2 linked regions of the Lonchura striata genome follow. The protein of the gene in region 2 purifies or fractionates together with the protein of the main gene of each other region. This does not show direct contact. Links are inferred from orthologs where the notes say so. Each region holds a gene or a part of one and is shown on either strand. Other genes may lie near its edges. The genes, in order: PLEKHJ1 and OCRL.

Region 1 (8,766 bases), on a different chromosome or scaffold from region 2:
AGAGGAATCTCACTCCAAAAGTGCAGATTGCTCTCAGCTGCTGAGCTGTCATCATGTCTTGGGTTATAAATGTGTATTTTGTTTCTTATATAAGTGGGGCAGTTATTTTTTGTTATTGGGTAGCTTACTTTATCTCTTCTACAACTAATCTTCCCTCTGGGGAGATATCTCTTGTTAATGGGCCATGGAATCTCACTACATAACTGATAAAATTACATCATCTCATTGTGAGATGTTCTGCTCAGGGGGAGGAGCTAAGTATTCTTACTTAGATATAATCTGAGATTTAGAACACCAGGAGCAGTCCTTCTCTACCAGATTCTAAGAAGAACAGCTTTCTTTTTTACTAGATTCTCAGAAGAAGACTAAGCTCATCTACACTACTCCTGAACCTTCAGAAGAAAATCACTCTTCAACAAGATCTTGGTGCACACTGTCAGGTTTAACCACCCCTCAGGTCTCAGCAGTCACTGCCCACGTGCTGAAGCTCCTGTTATTCCCAAATTGCTGCTGCTAGGATCAGGACAGGCAGGTGCTCCCCTCACCTCATTGTTGTGGAGCGTCAGGCAAAGCTTGCACTCGTAGGAGCCCAAATGATTTTTCATAAAATAGGGGTCCTGGGAAAAGAATGACAGACGAGTTATGAGCAAAATCCATTGGCAAAATAAGAGAATAACCAAAATACTGCAGAGTTCTGCACTGGAAGAAAGGTTCTTCCCCCTGAGGGTGCTGGCACTGCCCAGGCTCCCCAGGGAATGGTCCCGGCCCCGAGGCTGCCAGAGCTGCAGGAGCGTTTGGACAGCGCTCTCAGGGCTGCTCAGGGTGGGGCTGTTGGGGGGTCTGTGCAGGGACAGAAGCTGGACTGATGATCCCTGAGGGTCCCTCCCAGCTCAGGATACCCTAGGATCCTGTAGCTGAGTTCAGATTTTAAATTAACAGCACAAGAGAGGTTTAGGAGGAGGAAACAAGAGAGAACCAACAGCAGCTATGTGTGCAGTGGTGACAGAATTCCCAACTGTAGCAGGAAACACCACAACCCAAACCAGCCCTGGGGAGACTGGAAATAGATGGATACACAAGAGCTGGCACCTCCTTGTCACTCTGTCCTAAATATTCCTTATTCAACCCCCACATGCCCAGAAACAGATGTATTTAAACCCAATCCACACCTCAGCCTGGAAACAAGGAGGCTCTGGGGTGACCATAAAGCCTAAAGGGGCTCCAAGAGAACTGGAGGAATGTCGCCCTGATTCTTAAGATTTTCTAAAGCCTTCTGAGTTTCCATTCTGTTAGAGAACTTTCTCACACAACTTTCTGTAAACAACTTATTGTTCTGCATTCCTTCATAGAGGTGGAGAAACTTGATGTACTAGTAGTTTGTCCAATGTCATTGGAGAGGTGGCACTTGCACCCTCCAATCCACTGTTACCTTTAAAAAAGTATAAATGCTGGAGTCAGAAAATAAACTCTTTCTTTTTCACCTTTGCAATAGTAGCAGCTTGTGTCATGCTTTCATGTGTCCTATACCGACAGAGGAAAACTTTGGAAAAGGGCCTGGAAGGACAGGACAAAGGGAAATGGCTTCAAAGAGACCAAGAGTAGGTTTAGATGGGAGACTGGGGAAAAATTCTTGGCTGTGAGGGTGGGCAGCTGGCATGGATTTCCCAGAGCAGCTGTGGCTGCCCCTGGATCCCTGGAAGTGTCCAAGTCTAGGCTGGACAGGGCTTGGAGAAACCTGAGATGTCCCTGGATGAGCTTTAATGCTCCCTTCAACCCAAAGCACTGCAGGATGCCATGAATGTGACTGTGCCCGGTGTCCCCCGGGCTGCGGGGGCTCCCCTGCACCTTGTTGATGTCGATGGTCTCCAGGGCCAGCTGCCGCAGCCGCTCCCGCCGGTCCCGGTTGCTCTCGGAGGCCGAGGCCACGCCCCCGCTGCCCGTTTTACCCCCGGGCCGGTGCTGGAAATCCATGCTGGGGATTTCTGGGCTTCAGCTCCTCCTGGAGAAATGGAGTCTGCCAAGAGGAAGGAGTGTCAGGGACAACTGAGCCACAGGACTCTTCAGCCGCAGCAGCGAGGGTGGGGGTGACACCCAGGCATGCCCCAGGCACACAGCACGGGATGCAATCCCACATGGAGCACATCCGGCACCACCGACCTGGGAAAGCCGAGTACGGATCCAGAAAATCCCCCCGGAGCCCTTCCCATCACCTCAGCCACTCCAAGCCCAGCTGGGCCCCACCAGAGGAGCCTTCCCCCCTCACCTGAGGTACCAACAGCCCCAGAGCTCCTCCCTGACCACCACCAGGTCTATGCTCCCCCACCACCCCCAAAGCCCCAGGGCCACCCCCAACACCAAGGGAGGGTCAGAGCCCCCCAAGCCCCCCAACAAGGTCAGGGGTTCTGAGCAATGTCCCCAAGCCCCAGGTGAGGTCCTGGAGTCCCCCCTGCCCTCAGCAAGGTCAGAGCCCTGCCTAGACCTCCCCACAGGGAGCCCAAACACTGGAAAGACCTTTGAGGAACCCCAAATCCTTCCCCACAGAGCACCCAGTTCTCCAGTGTCTCGTCCCCAGTCCCTCTCCAGCCACATCCCCCTGTAGCTTCAGTCCTGATTCAGCCAGTCAAGGCCCACTGACTCCCACTCAGGTGCTCTTCCCCATCCTCCCCACACTCCCCTGGCCCTACCCCAGTTTCCCACTCGTGATTCTCCAGCTCCCCCAGCCCCACCACCCCAGTTCTCCTAGTCCCTCCATTTCCAGCACCCTCAGTTTCTCCAGCACCCCCAGTCCTCCCACCCAGGGCACCCAGTTTCCCCAGTACTTTTCCAGTAGCTCCATCCCAGTTCTGCATTCGGCAACCTCCAGGTGCCTCCGTTCCTGCCCCGCTGATCCTCCCAGTAACCCAAATCCTGCCCTGGTGCTACCCTGGTTTCCCACTCGTGATTCTCCAGTTCCCCCAGCCTCACCACCCAGACCACCCAGCACTCCCAGTCCCTCCTCACCCAGTTCTCTCAATTCTTCCTTACCCAGCTCTCCCAGTCCCTCCTTCCCAGCTCTCCAGTCCCTCCTCACTCAGCATGCCAAGTCTCTCCATACTCCAAACTCCCAGTCCTTCTTCACCCAGTTCTCTCAATTCCTCCTCACCAAGCTCTCCTAGTCTCTCCATACCCAGATCTCCCAGTCTCTTCTCCCCCAGTTCTCTGAATCCTCCTCACCCAGCACTCCCAGTCCCTCCTCACCCAGTTCTCTCAATTCCCCTTCACCCAGCATTCCACATCTCTCCATACCCAGCTCTCCCAGTCTCTCCATACCCAGCATTTCCAGTCCCTCTTTCCCAGCTTTCCAGTCCCTCCTCACCCAGCATTTCCAGTTCCTCCTTTCCCAGTTCTCCCAGTCTCTTCTCTCCCAGCTTTTGCAATCCCTCCTTTCCCAGCTCTCCAGTCCTTCCTCACCCAGTTCTCAATTCCTGCTTCCCAGCTCTCCCAGTCTCTCCATACCCAGCATTCCCAGTCCCTCTCTTCCAGCTCTCCCAGTCTCTCCTCACGCAGCACTCCCAGTTGCCCAGCCCCGACTCCCCAGTTCCCCCAGTCCTGCCCCGTTCCCCCTCAGTCCCCCTCTCCCCTCAGTTCCCCCTCTCCCCTCACGGCCCCTCTTCAGTCCCCCTCTCCCCTCATGGCCCCTCTCCCCTCAGCTCCCCTCTCCCCCCTCTCCCCTCAGGGTCTCTCCCCGCTCCGAACCTGCGCGCGGCCGCGCTCCCGCCCCGGCGCCTGCGCGCTCCCGCGGCTCCGCGGTGTTTCCGGCCCGCCGAGGCCGTTCCGGCTCCGAAGCCGTTCCGGGCCCGCCGAAGCCGTTCCGGGCCCTGGAGCCGTTCCGGCCCCGAAGCCGTTCCGGGCCCCGAAGCCGTTCCGGCCCCGAAGCCGTTCCGGGCCCTGGAGCCGTTCCGGGCCCGCCGAGGCCGTTCCGGGCTCCGAAGCCGTTCCGGGCTCTGAAGCCGTTCCGGGCCCCGAAGCCGTTCCGGCCCGCCGAGGCCGTTCCGGGCTCCGAAGCCGTTCCGGCCCCGGAGCCGTTCCGGGCGCTCTGAGGGCGCTTCCGGCGGCGCTGGGGCGGCCCGGGCGGGGCCGTGGCCGGGGCCGGGGCCCGCCATGCGCTACAACGAGCGGGAGCTGCTGTCCCTGGCCCGGCAGCCGGCCGAGAAAGCGGCCGAGATCCGCATGAGTGTCCCCAAGAAGGGCAGCGGTGAGCGGGATCCGCGCGGGGCGCAGCCGGGGCTGGGGTACCGGGGCGGGAGCGCGGGGGGATCGGCGCTGCCTGAGGGGCCCCGAGCGGGGAGGCAGGGCTGGGACAGCGGGAGCGGTGTGCGAGGGGAGCTGCGGCGGTGGGGCTGAGGATACTGGGGAAACTGGGGCGGCTCCGAGCCGGGACTGGGCGAACTGGGAGTGCTGGGGGAGGCAGGGGAAGGTGGGACAGGACCGGCGGTACCTGGGGGGCAGAGTCGGGACTGGGGATACTGGGAGGGACTGGGAAGGTGCCGTGGGTGGTGGGGCTGGGGGAACTGGAGAATCACGAGTGGGAAACTGGGGTAGGACCAGGGAAGGGCTGAGGGTACTTGAGGGGCCCCGACTGCAGAATCAGAACTGGAGCTGCTGGGGGAAGAGGCTGGAGAGGGTCTGGGGGAGCTGGGTGGGAGGATTGAGGGTACTGGAGAATCCAGGCTGGGAAACCAGGGCAGGACTGGGAGTGCTGGGAGGCAGGGCTGGGGACAGGCAGGCTGGGAGGGCTGGAGTGTGGCAGTGGGGAGCACGAGTGCTGGGCTCCAGTATGGGCGTGCAGGGAGGTTCTGGGGCTGGGCTGGGGCCAGGGAGATCCCCCATTTCCAGGGGATCTGGGGAAGAAGGTCTTCCCTGAAATCTCCTAGAAAATTCCCCTGCAAACAAGCAGTGTTGTGCTCACTCCCTTGTCCTGAGCCTTTCGTCCTCTGAGCACCTGCTGGACTTTGTCCCGTGGGGGTGACGCCCGTGCTGGCAGCTCCAGGCAGGGCTCCCAGGATCCGGAGCTTTTCCTGGAGTGCCTGGAGCCCCGTGGTGCTGCTGCTGTGAGCTCTGACTGCCCGGGAGCTGCTCAGGGGCTTTGTCACCCTGAGGCCACTCAGACACTGTCACCCTGAGGGAGCAGCCTCGGGGGGTGCCTTGGTGGGGTCAGCGCCACGCTGGGCCCTGGCAGGGTGGGCAGGGCTCCCCTGCTCCCCGTGCCCCTGCCTCAGCCCTGCCCTGCTCCCTTGTGCCCCTGCAGTGCTGAAGAAGCGCCTGGTGAAGCTCGTGGTGAACTTTCTCTTCTACTTCCGCACCGATGAGGCTGAGGTAGGGATTGGGCCTCTGCGTGGGGTTTGTTCCCCTCCTCCTTTCTTCTTTTTCTATGCCTGGATTGTGTGGGCTGGGAAAATGGTGCATGGCAGAGCTGGAGCAGGGTCCACCTTCCATCAGTTCAGCAGGGCTCCAGGAGAGCTGGAGAGGGACTGGGGACAAGGCCTGGAGGGACAGGACACAGGGAATGGCTCCCAGTGCCAGAGGGCAGGGCTGGATGGGAGATTGGGCAGGAATTGTTCCTGGCAGGGTGGGCAGGCCCTGGCACAGGGTGCCCACCCTGGATCCCTGGCAGTGCCCAAGGCCAGGCTGGACAGGGCTTGGAGCAGCCTGGGATGGTGGAAGGTGTCCCTGCCATGGCAGGAGTGGCACTGGATGGGCTTTGAGATCTCTTCCAACCCAAAGAGTTGTATGAAATGCAAGATAAATCAGGTCTGCAATCCCTTCCCTGCTGCCTGATTTGCTTCTGACATGTTGGTTCACTTGGACAAGGATTTCTTGTGGTTGCTTTTGTTCATGGCCAATGTCACCTGCTGTCCCCGTGTCCCTGAGTAGTACCAGGTGGTTTTTTGGTCATCCTCAGCTGCTGCAGCTCTGCTCACACTTGCAAGGCTCCAGGACAGCCCTTGCATAGCTCAGTGTTGGTTATTCTGGGTGTCACAGTAAATGTTTCATCTTTGATTTTAAAAGCAAATGTTTTTCTCTGGTATCACAGAGTGGTTAAGACCAGGCTGAAACTGAGCCAGTAGAGATGATTGACACCTAATTAACAAATGCAAAGTGTTGCAGGTGAGACTGGCATGAAAAGGTGATTAAAGGAACATGAAATATGGTGCAATCAGAATGAATTATTCAAAAGCAGCACCAGCTTGTGAAAGTTGCTTAAAAGGCTCCAGGGAAGTACCGTGGGTTGAGCCCTCGTGGTGTTGGGGCCCCTGTGGGTTAAACCTTCTCTCCATGTGTTTTCAGCCCATTGGAGCTCTGCTGCTGGAGCACTGCAAGATCACCAAAGAGGAGGAGAACGTCTTCTCCATCAGTGAGTGCTGCCTGTGCACCCCTTTGCCTTCCCCTGGTGGGAAAGGGAATGCTGAATGCTCAGTTCTGCTTTCCCCTGTTTCCCTGGTGCAGTGGGGTCAGCTCAGCCCTTCCCCTCCTCAGTGGGGTCACTGCCCCCAGCCCTTCTCCTCTCCCTCAGTGGGGTCAGGGCCCTTCAGGTGGGGGTCAGGCTCTGCTCCCAGGGAACAGAGGACAAGACAAGAAGAAATGTCCTCCAGTTGTGCCCAGGACAGGTTTAGATTGGATACTGGGGAAAATTTACTCACCAAAAAGGTTTGGAAGTACTGGCACGGACTGCCCAGGGCAGTGGTGGAGTCCCCATCCCTGGGAGTGTTCAGGAGATCTGTGGATGTGGCACCTGGGGACAGGGGTGAGTGGTGAACCTGGTGGTGCTGAGCTGATGGTTGGACTTGATGGTCTTAAAGGCCATTTCCAACTTTACCAATTCCTCAACCTTTCCCCTCCTCAGGTGCCAGCTGTTCCTCACTGTGCCTGTGGCCATCCCGAGGAAAGCTCAGGGATATTCCATGGCACAGCCTGAGGGACTTGCACAGCTGCACGTGCAGAGCAGCACTAAGAGCAGCCAGGCCCCACTGCCTGCCTGTGGAATCTCTGGCAGGGGGAGCTTGGTTATTGACAGATCTGCTCTGTGCTGCTGCATTTTATCCAAAAAACACCCTAGAGAGGCTCAGATAAAGCTGCTCCAGCCCCATCCTCCCCTCTGTGCGTCCTTGTGCAGCGGCAGCTGGGCCAGCTCCCCTGGGAGCAGCCTTTCATCCCGCAGCTCTCCCCTCTGCCAGAGGTATGTGGCCACAATAACAGGATGTTTCTCCAAGGCCATCCCTGTATCTTTTGGCCTGGCTGCCAGGCACAGCTGTGGTTCTGCTCTGTGCTTCCAAAGGACCCACAAACTGCCTGAACACACTGAGCCTGGAGCACCATGTGCTGGATTTTGGGGCTTTAGGGATTTTGGGAGCTCTGGTGGAGGAGGATTCCTGAGCAGGGTTAAACCCAGCGGTACCTGGTGTTGGGATGTGTCCACAGCCCATCCCGAGGTGCTGGTGCAGCCTGACCCAGGTGCTTGGCAGCAGCAGCCCTGAGGGTCTGCTCAGCAGAGCTTTGGGGACAGGAACTGGTGGCATGTCCTGGCTCTGTCCTGGTCAAGAACTGGAGTGGCACCAGGACCTGCTCTCCATGGTGGGAGTACCATGTGAATACCACGTTCCCAAAAGCTTCCAGCAAAGGCAGCTCAGGGCCTTCTCCCAGTGCAGTTTAACTCCTCTGTTGGCTGCTCCCTGCAGGTATCCCAGTTCCTCTCTCAGGGCTGTTCCCACTTGGATTTAAATTCCTGGTGTCTTTGCAAGGGGCCTCAGGGAGTCAGTCCTGGATCTGGCCGTGTGGTCCAGTTCAATTCACCCTCAGTTTGGGAAGCTGCTCTTCCCAAGGTCTCTGGCTGCTGTAAGCTGGGAAATGCTGTGGGCAGCTGCCCCAGGCACCCAGAGCCACCCAGGCAATGGGAGAGGGGCTGGAGGTGGGGGCTGCAGACTCATTCCCACCTCATCTTCGTTAACAGAGCTGCTAATTGTGGCCTGGCAGAGTCTGGGGAGCACCAGCAGCTCTGCCAGGACCTGCCTGGAGCCTTTTCCTTGTCCCTGGCAGGTTTCATCGAGGAGCCAGAGAGGAAATACTGCTTTGAGTGTGCCACGGAGGAGCAGTGCCAGGAGTGGGTTGAGGCACTCAAGAGAGCCAGGTGGGCTGAGCCCTCGGAGCCAGGGCAGTGCTGGGGGCTCTGGGCTGTGTTCTGGGATCAGGAACTGGGAGGGCAGTGCTTGTCTCCTCCCAGACAAGCTTCCCTCCAGCTCGAAATAGCATCTGAAACTTCCCCACATCCTTCTCTGCTCAGCCCTTCCCGTGCTCTGTTCCTGTCTTGCAGCTACGAGTTCCTGAGGAGGAGCCTGATTTTCTACAGGAACGAGATCCAGAAGATGACAGGGAAGGTGAGTGAGTCCCTGCAGCTCAGGTGTGGCTGATGGCTCTGGCTGGCAGCAGGGGCTGTTGCTGCCAGTCCTGCCCAGGCTGTGTGTGGGAAGGAGATTCCAGATCCCATAGGGAGCCATGGTCTCCACAGCCAGACCTGAAGACCTTCTCCTGGGTGCTCACCTAACTCTGATACACACTCTGATGCTGGAGTGGCCCAAGGTTTGGAGCTGGACAGGCGCAGAGCTGGAACAGTTCACACCTGGGCAGATCCATGGGTGGAGATGCTGCTCACCCCCTGCTCCAGGGAGGGACGTGACTGTGGCTCCCCTGGACCTTGGCTCCCTGCTGTGTCCCGTGTGTCCCAAGGGCTGC
Region 2 (8,766 bases):
CCTACAGAAATGTGAAACCTCCAGCAACAGCCCTTGGAGGAACAGCTCCTTATGGCCACTTGCTAAATAAAGCAGTAGAATTCCCCCATAGTGCCTTTGAGATCCTACCCCAAACCCCCCAGCAGCCCTTTCCCTGAGAAACACCACTTTAGACAGAGGACAACGAGTGAGCTCTGCAGATAAACTCTGTATTTCCAGCTCTTCAGGAAAATCTATTATGTCATGCTAGCTTTGTACAACCTGATCCTCTGCCTCATCCAATAGCTTTTTGCCCTCAGACGGCCCCTGTGTGCCACAGCTCAGCTCTGTGCAGCCTCTGAGAGCACAACAGGAACCTAAACCCAAGCCAGTCCTCCTGGAGCCCCTGCAGCTGCTCACCCGATGCAGTAGAAATCCGGGGGCTCCATGTCATACGCCAGCCATGGGGTCAAGTAGCTGTCAGGAGACTGCCCATTCACATTCCAGGTTCCCACAAAGAACCTACAACACAAAAGCAGCTGAGCTGTTAGAAACACCATGAAAATCACAGCAGCACAACAGTGTTCTGGCTGGAAGCACACACTGTGAACTGTCCCTACAGGGGGCAATGACTGCCATGGGGGAACTGAAAGTCACAGAATCACTGAGGTCGGAAAAGACCTCCAGGATCACTGAGTCCAACCTGTGCCCAATCCCCACCTTGTCACCCAGCCCAGAGCACGGAGTGCCACATGCAGGCATTCCTTAGGCACCTCCAGAGATGGGGACTCTTCCCTGTGCAACCCCTTCCAATGCCTGACCACCCCTTCCATGAAGAAATTCCTCCTGGTGTCCAACCTGAACCTTTCCTGCAGCAGTTTGAGGCCATTTTCTTTTGTACTCTCCCTTGCTCCCTGGGAGCAGAGCCCAACCCCCCGGCTGCCCCCTCCTGTCAGGGAGCTGGGGAGAGCCAGAAGGTCCCCCTGAGCCTCCTCTTCTCCAGGCTGAGGCTTCCCTGATCCCTCAGTCACTCCTTCAAAATTCTCCCAGGCTTGGCTCACTCCCAGTGACAGTCCCCTGAGTAAGGCATTCCACCAGCAAACATCTGGCTCTTTGAACATCATGTCACGAGGGGCAACACCATGACACTATGGTGGGACCTCAGTCTTCACTCTTTCTGCCCACCTGCCCCAGCCCTACCAAGGCTCACAATATCTGACACACACAGAGAGAAGACAAAGGGAGCAGCTGTCCCATGGACATGAGACTTTTGGGCTGTACCATCCTCACTGGCCACTTGAGCTGCAACCCCTCACCAGCTACCAGGGTCCAATCCTGGGTGAGATCCAAGCTCACAGGAGAGATCCTGCAGCTCTGTCCTTCCCTCCCAGGTCTCACCTGAAGTTGTGCAGGTTGATGTAGGCCTTCTCCCTCTTGGCCAGCACATGTTTGATGAGCCCCTCTCTCTGCCCCGACTGTGTGCTGGGCAAAAAGATCTTGCGCATCGTGTTGGTCACCTTGGGCTGGTCTCTGGATGTGCCTTCTCTCTCCCGGTGAAATCTAGGAAGGAAGCAAGAGCAGCACTAGAACTAGTTCTGCTGTCTAGGAAGAAAAGTAAAAAAGGGAACAGATCCCTTACTGCTTATTCTGAGGGACAGGAGGAGGTGGGGGTTCCCGTCGAGATCCCGTCTGGTGGTTTTGCATGTTTCTTTTCTCTTCTAGGCTCAGAGTGTTGAAGTCATCCTCAAACCCCAGAGCTCCTGTAATGAAAAATCCAAGAAAAACACCCTGAGAAACAATCTGAAACAGCTCAGATCAAGAAGGAAAAAATGTAACCAAAAAACCAAACGAGAGTAGGAATACATCAACTGTGTGACCCTGGAAATGGGAGAAAGGGGCACTAACCACAAGGCAAGGCAGGAAGCTCAACATACACAAACCAAGGGTGAAAATAGCACTCAGGAAGGAATTAACAGACAAGGAAGCATGGCCAGACCCAGATCCCACCCTTGGCACCCCAGAACTGCACAGGCCCCGGAGCAAAGTCAACTGTACCTGGAGATAGACCTGTAAGGCTCTTCTCCACCTGATGCCAAATGGCTGAGTCCTTAGGTTCAGGAAGAGATGCTTTCAGGTGGGCTGGAAAAAATCCATCCCTGTCAGTCACTGCTGGCAGAGGATTTCACATGCACAGGGGAGACTCTGCTCACCTTCCTGTATGCTCTGCACTTCTGACAGGAATCCCAAGCAGCGCTCCTCGTCAGGGATCTCAAAGAGCCGCTCCGGCGCCTCGTCACCCTGGATCCGGACCTTGCAGCCTGCTTCAAACACACTCACTGAGTCAGCCCAGGCTGCCTCAGAGCCCCCAGGCTTCCCACCCAGCTTCCAGGTGTTGTTTGTTTTGGAAACCTGCACCTCCCTGCACTTCTGAGGTCCCCCCACACTGCTTGGGATATCCCCAGCACATTATCCTGGCTTTAGGAATCCTCCCTACTGCAATTTTGAAAACAAGAGCTCTAAAAGCAGGAAAATAACTGCAAACATTTTGACCATTTGCATTTCAAACCTTGTCTGTCATGACAAGCCAGTGTCTCACAGAGCCAGATGACAATGTCAGAGGGAAAACAATCCCTGTTTGAGCAGAGGACAAACACAGAGCCTGGGGGAAGACTGGAAGGCAAAACAAGCACCAGTGGCTGTTCCATGACAGGACCTTTAGCTGCACCACTACCCTTATGAAACTTACTGTTTGTAGCTATATCAATCAGCAGAGTTTCTTCTGCCTCTAGAAAAGAGAAAAACATGATCAGTAGAGCTGACGCTGGATGCTGCAGTAATTGAAGACTCATATAATTACACTGCCTGCTGCCAGCCATGAGAGAGTCCTAACAGGAACAAAGAGCTCTAATTTACATCTGTACATTCCTAACGGTTCTGGCAGAGAGAACCTGGACAGTCACCTCCCAGCAGGGAGATTCCCACCACACAGTTCTCATACATCTGGCTGGTTTTTCCCCATCAGTGCAGCTACTTCAGGAAAGACCAACTTGACAAGGAACTTCAGAGCTTCTCTACAGAGCAAAATCAGGGGCAGAACATCCTGAACTGCACACAAGGGAATGAGTAAATTCAGGAAAAAGGACTTTTACTCCTTACAAAGATTTGCCCCAGGACCACTTGCTGCTATTTAAGTTCTTCCAAAACAAGGCCTAAAGCCCTTCCTCATTCAGCACGTGGGATGCTGAGAGCTTGGTAGACCTTAGGAAGTTTAGATGTAAACATGCAGGATAAAGCAACAGCTCCCAACTCTCGGCAGAGCAGAGAAGTCTGAGAGACCGACACCAGCAGACAGCAAATTCCAGACCCTGAAACCAGATGCTGCATGTGTTGGCTCTGTGTGATGCCAAGCACACCACGCACTGGAGCCAGCCAAGTTCCTCACAAGTTCATGCTGACATGGAATGACAACCTGCTTGAATGAGGAACAAGGGGATGCCATAAAATGTGACTTGCTGCTTCACAGAGAAAGGATTCAATCCGCTGTGGCTCGGGAGACAGGTCAGGAAACACCATTAAATTTAAGGTTTGTGGATCAACAGCAGGGGATTCTCGACCTTCCCCCCAGCAGTCAGTACCTTGCACACACTTAAAACGGCTGTTGATGGGAATATAATCCGGATCAGAGTTTTCTTTCTCCTGGGAGCGAATAACCACCCTGCAGACAGAAGGAAGGCTTGTAAAAACCCGGCAGGAACGCACACAAACAGGAGCTGTGTGTACAGAGACACAACGTTTGATTTTTATCGCTAAGCTTCTGGGGCAGGAGTTGAAAAAGGCAACGAAGGTGAGATCGTGCAGGACGCGGATACCCCGGGGGAGAAGGAAGAGCTGCTGAACTCTCGCTGCCACGGGGCAGGTCCAACACCGGGCTGGCAGCGGCTCTGGTTACCGGGGGAGCATCGGGGAGCCGGGAAGGCACCTCCGGAGCGCCGGTCCCGCGGGGTGAGGGGACCGGCCGGGGGAGCACGCAGGGATGCCGAGAGTCACGGCTGTGGCAGCTGGGCGCGGAACCGAGCCCCGCCGCGGCGGCACCGAGCGAGGCGAGCCGGGCCCCGCCGCGCTCGCACTCACTCACCCGTAGCGGCCGGCCCGCCGCTCCAGGCCGAGCACGCACGGCTCCCGCCGCCCGGCCCGCACCTCCGCACCAGCAACGCTCTTGGCCGCAGTTAAGAAAACCTCCGGTCACCGGCCTGCCCCGCCCCACCGCGGCCCCCCGCCCGCCCGGCCCGCCGCGCGCGGTGGATACGAGCAGGCCGCGGCCCGCGGCGCGCGCCTCCATGGCAGCGCTCGCCCTCCGCCGGCTCCGCGCTGCGCACGGCCGCGGAGCGCCGCGCCGCCCGCCGCCGCGCCCCCTGCTGGCGGGAGGTCCCGCCGCCCGCGCCCGTGACCGGGAGTGCGCCGGGGGCGGGCGGACTTGTGGATCTGCCGGGCTCCCCCTGGATGTCCCACACCTCGCTTCCCACCGCGCGGCGGGAAAGGGACCGGCCGGGACCGGAGCTCGTCCCGGTGTTTGCCCCGACCCGCGAGGAGGCGCGGGCAGCGCTCGGCCCCGCCCCTTTGCCCGCCCCCGGCGTTGATTGGCTGCGGGCGGTGGTGATTTACATGTGGCGCGGGGCAGGCCGGGAAGGGCCGGGTTTGAAGCGCAGGGCGGCAGCGCTGGCGCCATGGCCGCTCCCGGGCCGCGAGAGGCGGCGGCGGCAGAAGAGGAGCGGTACCGGGGGTGAGCGGCGACGGGGCTGAGCGGCCGCGGGCGGGCGGGCTGGGGCTGGGGCTGGGGCTGGGGTTGGGTTCGGGGTTGGCGTTGGCGGGCCGGGCCGGGCCGGCACTCCTGGGTGCAGCCCGGGCCTGGCCACCCGGTGCTCACGGTGACTCCCACAGGCTCGTGGCCAGCGCGAAGGCGGCGGCGGCCGACGGGGACCTTGAAGAGGCGCTGCGGCTGTTCCGGCTGGCGGCTGCCATCCGCCCCAGCGAGAAGCTGCAGAACCGCATGCGGCGGGTGCAGGAGGCACTGGCGGCGGCCGAGCAGCAGCAGCAGGAGGAGGAGGAGGATGATGAGGGTTTCGTGGACGTGTGCGGCAGCGGCCTGCTGATCTACGGGGAGATGCACAGGAAGCTGTTCCAGCACCAGCGGGAAGGTGTTGCCTTCCTGTACCGCCTGCACCGGGAGCGCAAGCCTGGCGGCATCCTGGCAGATGACATGGGCCTGGGCAAGACCATCCAGGTGATTGCCTTCCTGTCGGGTATGTTCGATGCCGAGCTCATCCAGCACGTCCTACTCATCATGCCCACCACCCTGGTCAGCAGCTGGCTGGCTGAGTTTGCTCGCTGGACCCCCGGCCTTCGCGTCAAGGAGTTCCATGGCACCAGCAAGACAGAGCGCACCAGGAACTTGGAAAGGGTCCAGAGGAAGAACGGCATCATCATCACGAGCTACCAGATGCTCATTAACAATTGGAAGCAGCTGGCCAGCCGCCATGAGCAGGAGTTTGTCTGGGACTACATTATCCTTGATGAAGCACATAAGATCAAGTGCCCGTCAAACAAGACAACCAAGTGTGTGTATGCAATCCCGGCCCACTACCGCATCCTGCTTACAGGCACCCCTGTGCAGAACAACCTCCGGGAACTGTGGTCCTTGTTTGACTTTGCCTGTCAAGGCTCCCTCCTGGGAACTGCCAAAACTTTTAAAATGGAGTATGAGAATCCCATTACCAGGGCGAGGGAGAAGGATGCGACTCCAGGTGAGAAAGCACTGGGGCTAAAGATATCAGAGAATCTCATGTCAATTATAAAGCCTTATTTCCTCAGAAGGACCAAGGAAGACATCAAAAACTATCATACCAATAAAGCTGATCCTACTCTTTCTGAGGATCCAAGTGAGAACAAGGCTCCTGTCATGCCATCTCTCACTAGGAAAAATGACTTTGTCGTGTGGGTGTACCTGGCACCAGTGCAGGAAGAAATCTACAGGAACTTTCTCTGCCTCGATCATGTGAAGGAAGTACTGATGATGAACCGATCACCTTTGGCTGAGCTGACAATCCTGAAGAAACTCTGTGACCACCCCAGGCTTCTGTCTCCAAGAGCCTGTACCCAGCTGGGCTTGGAAGAGGAAGAGGAGGACTCCGAGCAGGATTACAGGATGGAAGCAGTTATGTTTGCAGGCAAGAACAAAATAGATCATCTCTCTGATGAGACTGTGATCGAGGAGTCTGGGAAGATGCAGTTCCTTGTGGGACTGCTGGAGCGGCTGAGAGAAGAGGGACACCGAACCCTGGTGTTCTCACAGTCGAGGAAGATGCTGGATATCATAGAGTTCGTCCTGTCTCGCCGACAGTTCCAGATCCTGCGCATCGACGGCACGGTGACCCACCTGACGGAGCGGGAGAGGCGCATCAACGCCTTCCAGAGCAACACCACCTACTCTGTCTTCCTGCTCACCACACAGGTTGGGGGCGTTGGCATAACCTTGACAGCGGCCAGCCGAGTGGTGATCTTTGATCCCAGCTGGAATCCAGCAACTGATGCTCAGGCTGTGGACAGAGCTTACAGAATTGGGCAAAAAGAGAACGTAGTGATTTACAGACTGATCACCTGCGGCACCGTGGAAGAGAAGATATACAGGCGGCAGGTATTCAAGGACTCGTTAATCAGACAGACCACCGGTGACAAAAAGAACCCGTTCCGTTATTTCTCCAAACAGGAACTAAGAGAGCTCTTCATATTGGAAGATACTCGGACATCTGCAACTCAGATCCAGCTGCAGTCCCTGCACGCCATGCAAAGGAAGTCTGACCTGCAGCTGGATGAGCATCTTGCTTACCTGCATTCCTTGGCAATGTTTGGCATTTCTGACCACGACCTGATCTACACAAGGGAGATGGCTCATGAGGAGCAGGTGGAGAGCGAGGAAGCCCATCAGTACATCCAGCGGAGAGTACAGAAAGCCCATGAGCTGGTCCAGCTGGAGTCCCAGCTCAGAGATCAGAGGATGGAGGGGATCAGGAATACTTGTGAAGAGTTGTGGCAAAGACCATCGGGATCAGTTTCCAGGCCAAAGAAGTTGTCTCCAGGGTTGAATGACAAAAATAATTTTGTTTCACCACCAGTAGCTGATGCACAAGAAAAAGACAAATTTATTGATCTTACAGAGGACGAAGAAGCCCAGGTGCTCGATGTCAGCTCCAGAATGGCAACTCTGACTGTTGGTGACTTGGATGAAGAGCAACTGGCACAAGGTGTGTCCAGTATGGAGACAGAAGTGCTCAATACCAGCAAGACAGCAGAACAATCTGATCAAGAACAAGCAGAACAAGAATCTGAGCAAAATCCTGAATCTAACATTATACCATCATCCCCTGCACTCGAGAAAGAGAGTCAGAGCCTCCAAGAGAAACAACATTCGCAGGTACATTCAGACAGCTCGGCCAAGACAAGGAATGACCTGTCTTGGCATTGTCACAATTCCTCCCAGTCTGGCATGGCTGATCCTAGAAGTGAGGCAGAATTGTCAGTTCAGATACTTGACCCACACAGTGCCCTGGGGACAGAGCAGAACAATGATCCTGAGCCGGCTTCTGCAGTGCTGAGTTTAAAAAATGCTACACCAGAAGTCAATGCTGAGCTCTACAAGTCTCATGTGCTAGAAGACAGCTCAGAGGCTACATCTGCTCCTTCTTTCCAGGATCAAGTTGACTTCAATCTGGTTTTGGAAGAGTCTGAAGAGGAATGGCAGGATGCCTCAAATAGAGGAGGATCAGTGGAACACCCTGAGAAGGAGAGCTTACAACTCCAGGCAGAAAGCTTGTGTAAATCTCCAGACAAAGAATCTCCAAACAAAACTTGGCCAAGTGAGACCAGTAGCCATGGCAAACCCTGTCTCACAGCTGAGGAAGAGCCAAATGCCTCCCTGCAAGAGAGTAAATCATTGGAGGAAAGCAGTGGTCTCTTTATTTCTAGTAGGAAGAAACGCTTAAACAGAATTTCTTCAGACAGTGAGAGTGAAGAGCAGCCTGAACAAGTGCCCTCCTCTCCCTTGGATAGCATTCAGCACGGACGTCTGGAAGGAATTAATGCTTCCACCCCTAAATATGACACAACAAGAGCTAAAGCCATCTTTTCTCCCCAATTAAATAACAGTGGAAACAGGTCTAATGCTTCCAGGCGCTCATTCATCAGCAGGTTGGTAGATGAGGTGGAGGACATTGGGGAAATCATGGGAACCACTGATGAAGAAGATGATGATGATGATGATGATGATGATGAGGAGGAGGAGGAGGAGGAGCAAGATGGGCTTGTGGAAGATGAAGCTGAGGAGTGCACTGGGGAATCTGCTGAGCCTGAAGAAGAACCTGATGGAGAAACACTTGATACAAGTGAAGAGTCCTCTCACACAGACAGTGTGGAATCTGAGCAGTCCGAGGCAGAGTCATCACAGGAGGAATCCACAGGTGACGCTGAGCTCCAGTCAGATGAGCAGATTGACTACTTCACCCAGCAAAGCAGCTCTGAAAAGGACATTGGGCAGAATTCCTCTCCTGCTGCAGATTATGACACTTTGGTACAGAGTGGGAAGAAGCTTCAGAATGATGGAAAACTCCAGGAGGCTTTGGACTGCTTCCTGCAAGCTCTTGACATAAAAAGTGGAGATCCTGAAGTTATGCTGCTGACTCTGAACTTGTACCGACAGCTGGCCCAGAAGTGACATGTATGTGGCTCTGTGAAGAAAGTCTGGCTGTTCCTTGTGGG

The links.
Region 1: the proteins of OCRL (region 2) and PLEKHJ1 purify together in Homo sapiens (co-immunoprecipitation; 3 studies listed by BioGRID and IntAct, counting the BioPlex papers as one, with this or other methods). This does not show direct contact. The link is inferred for Lonchura striata from reciprocal best matches to the Homo sapiens genes OCRL and PLEKHJ1.

What each region holds. Positions count from the first base shown.
Region 1 is NC_134630.1:2,944,672-2,953,437, reverse strand, and holds the start of PLEKHJ1 (pleckstrin homology domain-containing family J member 1), read left to right. Parts: upstream 1-3,909; 5' UTR 3,910-4,140; coding exon 4,141-4,234; intron 4,235-5,287; coding exon 5,288-5,355; intron 5,356-6,327; coding exon 6,328-6,394; intron 6,395-8,073; coding exon 8,074-8,164; intron 8,165-8,347; coding exon 8,348-8,411; intron 8,412-8,766. Other genes in the region: SF3A2 (splicing factor 3A subunit 2), read right to left, coding at 546-617, 1,846-1,971.
Region 2 is NC_134616.1:15,209,872-15,218,637, reverse strand, and holds the start of OCRL (inositol polyphosphate 5-phosphatase OCRL), read right to left. Parts: upstream 4,321-8,766; 5' UTR 4,298-4,320; coding exon 4,265-4,297; intron 4,174-4,264; coding exon 4,094-4,173; intron 3,674-4,093; coding exon 3,594-3,673; intron 2,744-3,593; coding exon 2,705-2,743; intron 2,280-2,704; coding exon 2,169-2,279; intron 2,098-2,168; coding exon 2,014-2,097; intron 1,719-2,013; coding exon 1,598-1,718; intron 1,519-1,597; coding exon 1,357-1,518; intron 481-1,356; coding exon 379-480; intron 1-378. Other genes in the region: ERCC6L (DNA excision repair protein ERCC-6-like), read left to right, coding at 4,683-4,738, 4,897-8,722. UniProt on the Homo sapiens protein: Catalyzes the hydrolysis of the 5-position phosphate of phosphatidylinositol 4,5-bisphosphate (PtdIns(4,5)P2) and phosphatidylinositol-3,4,5-bisphosphate (PtdIns(3,4,5)P3), with the greatest catalytic activity towards PtdIns(4,5)P2.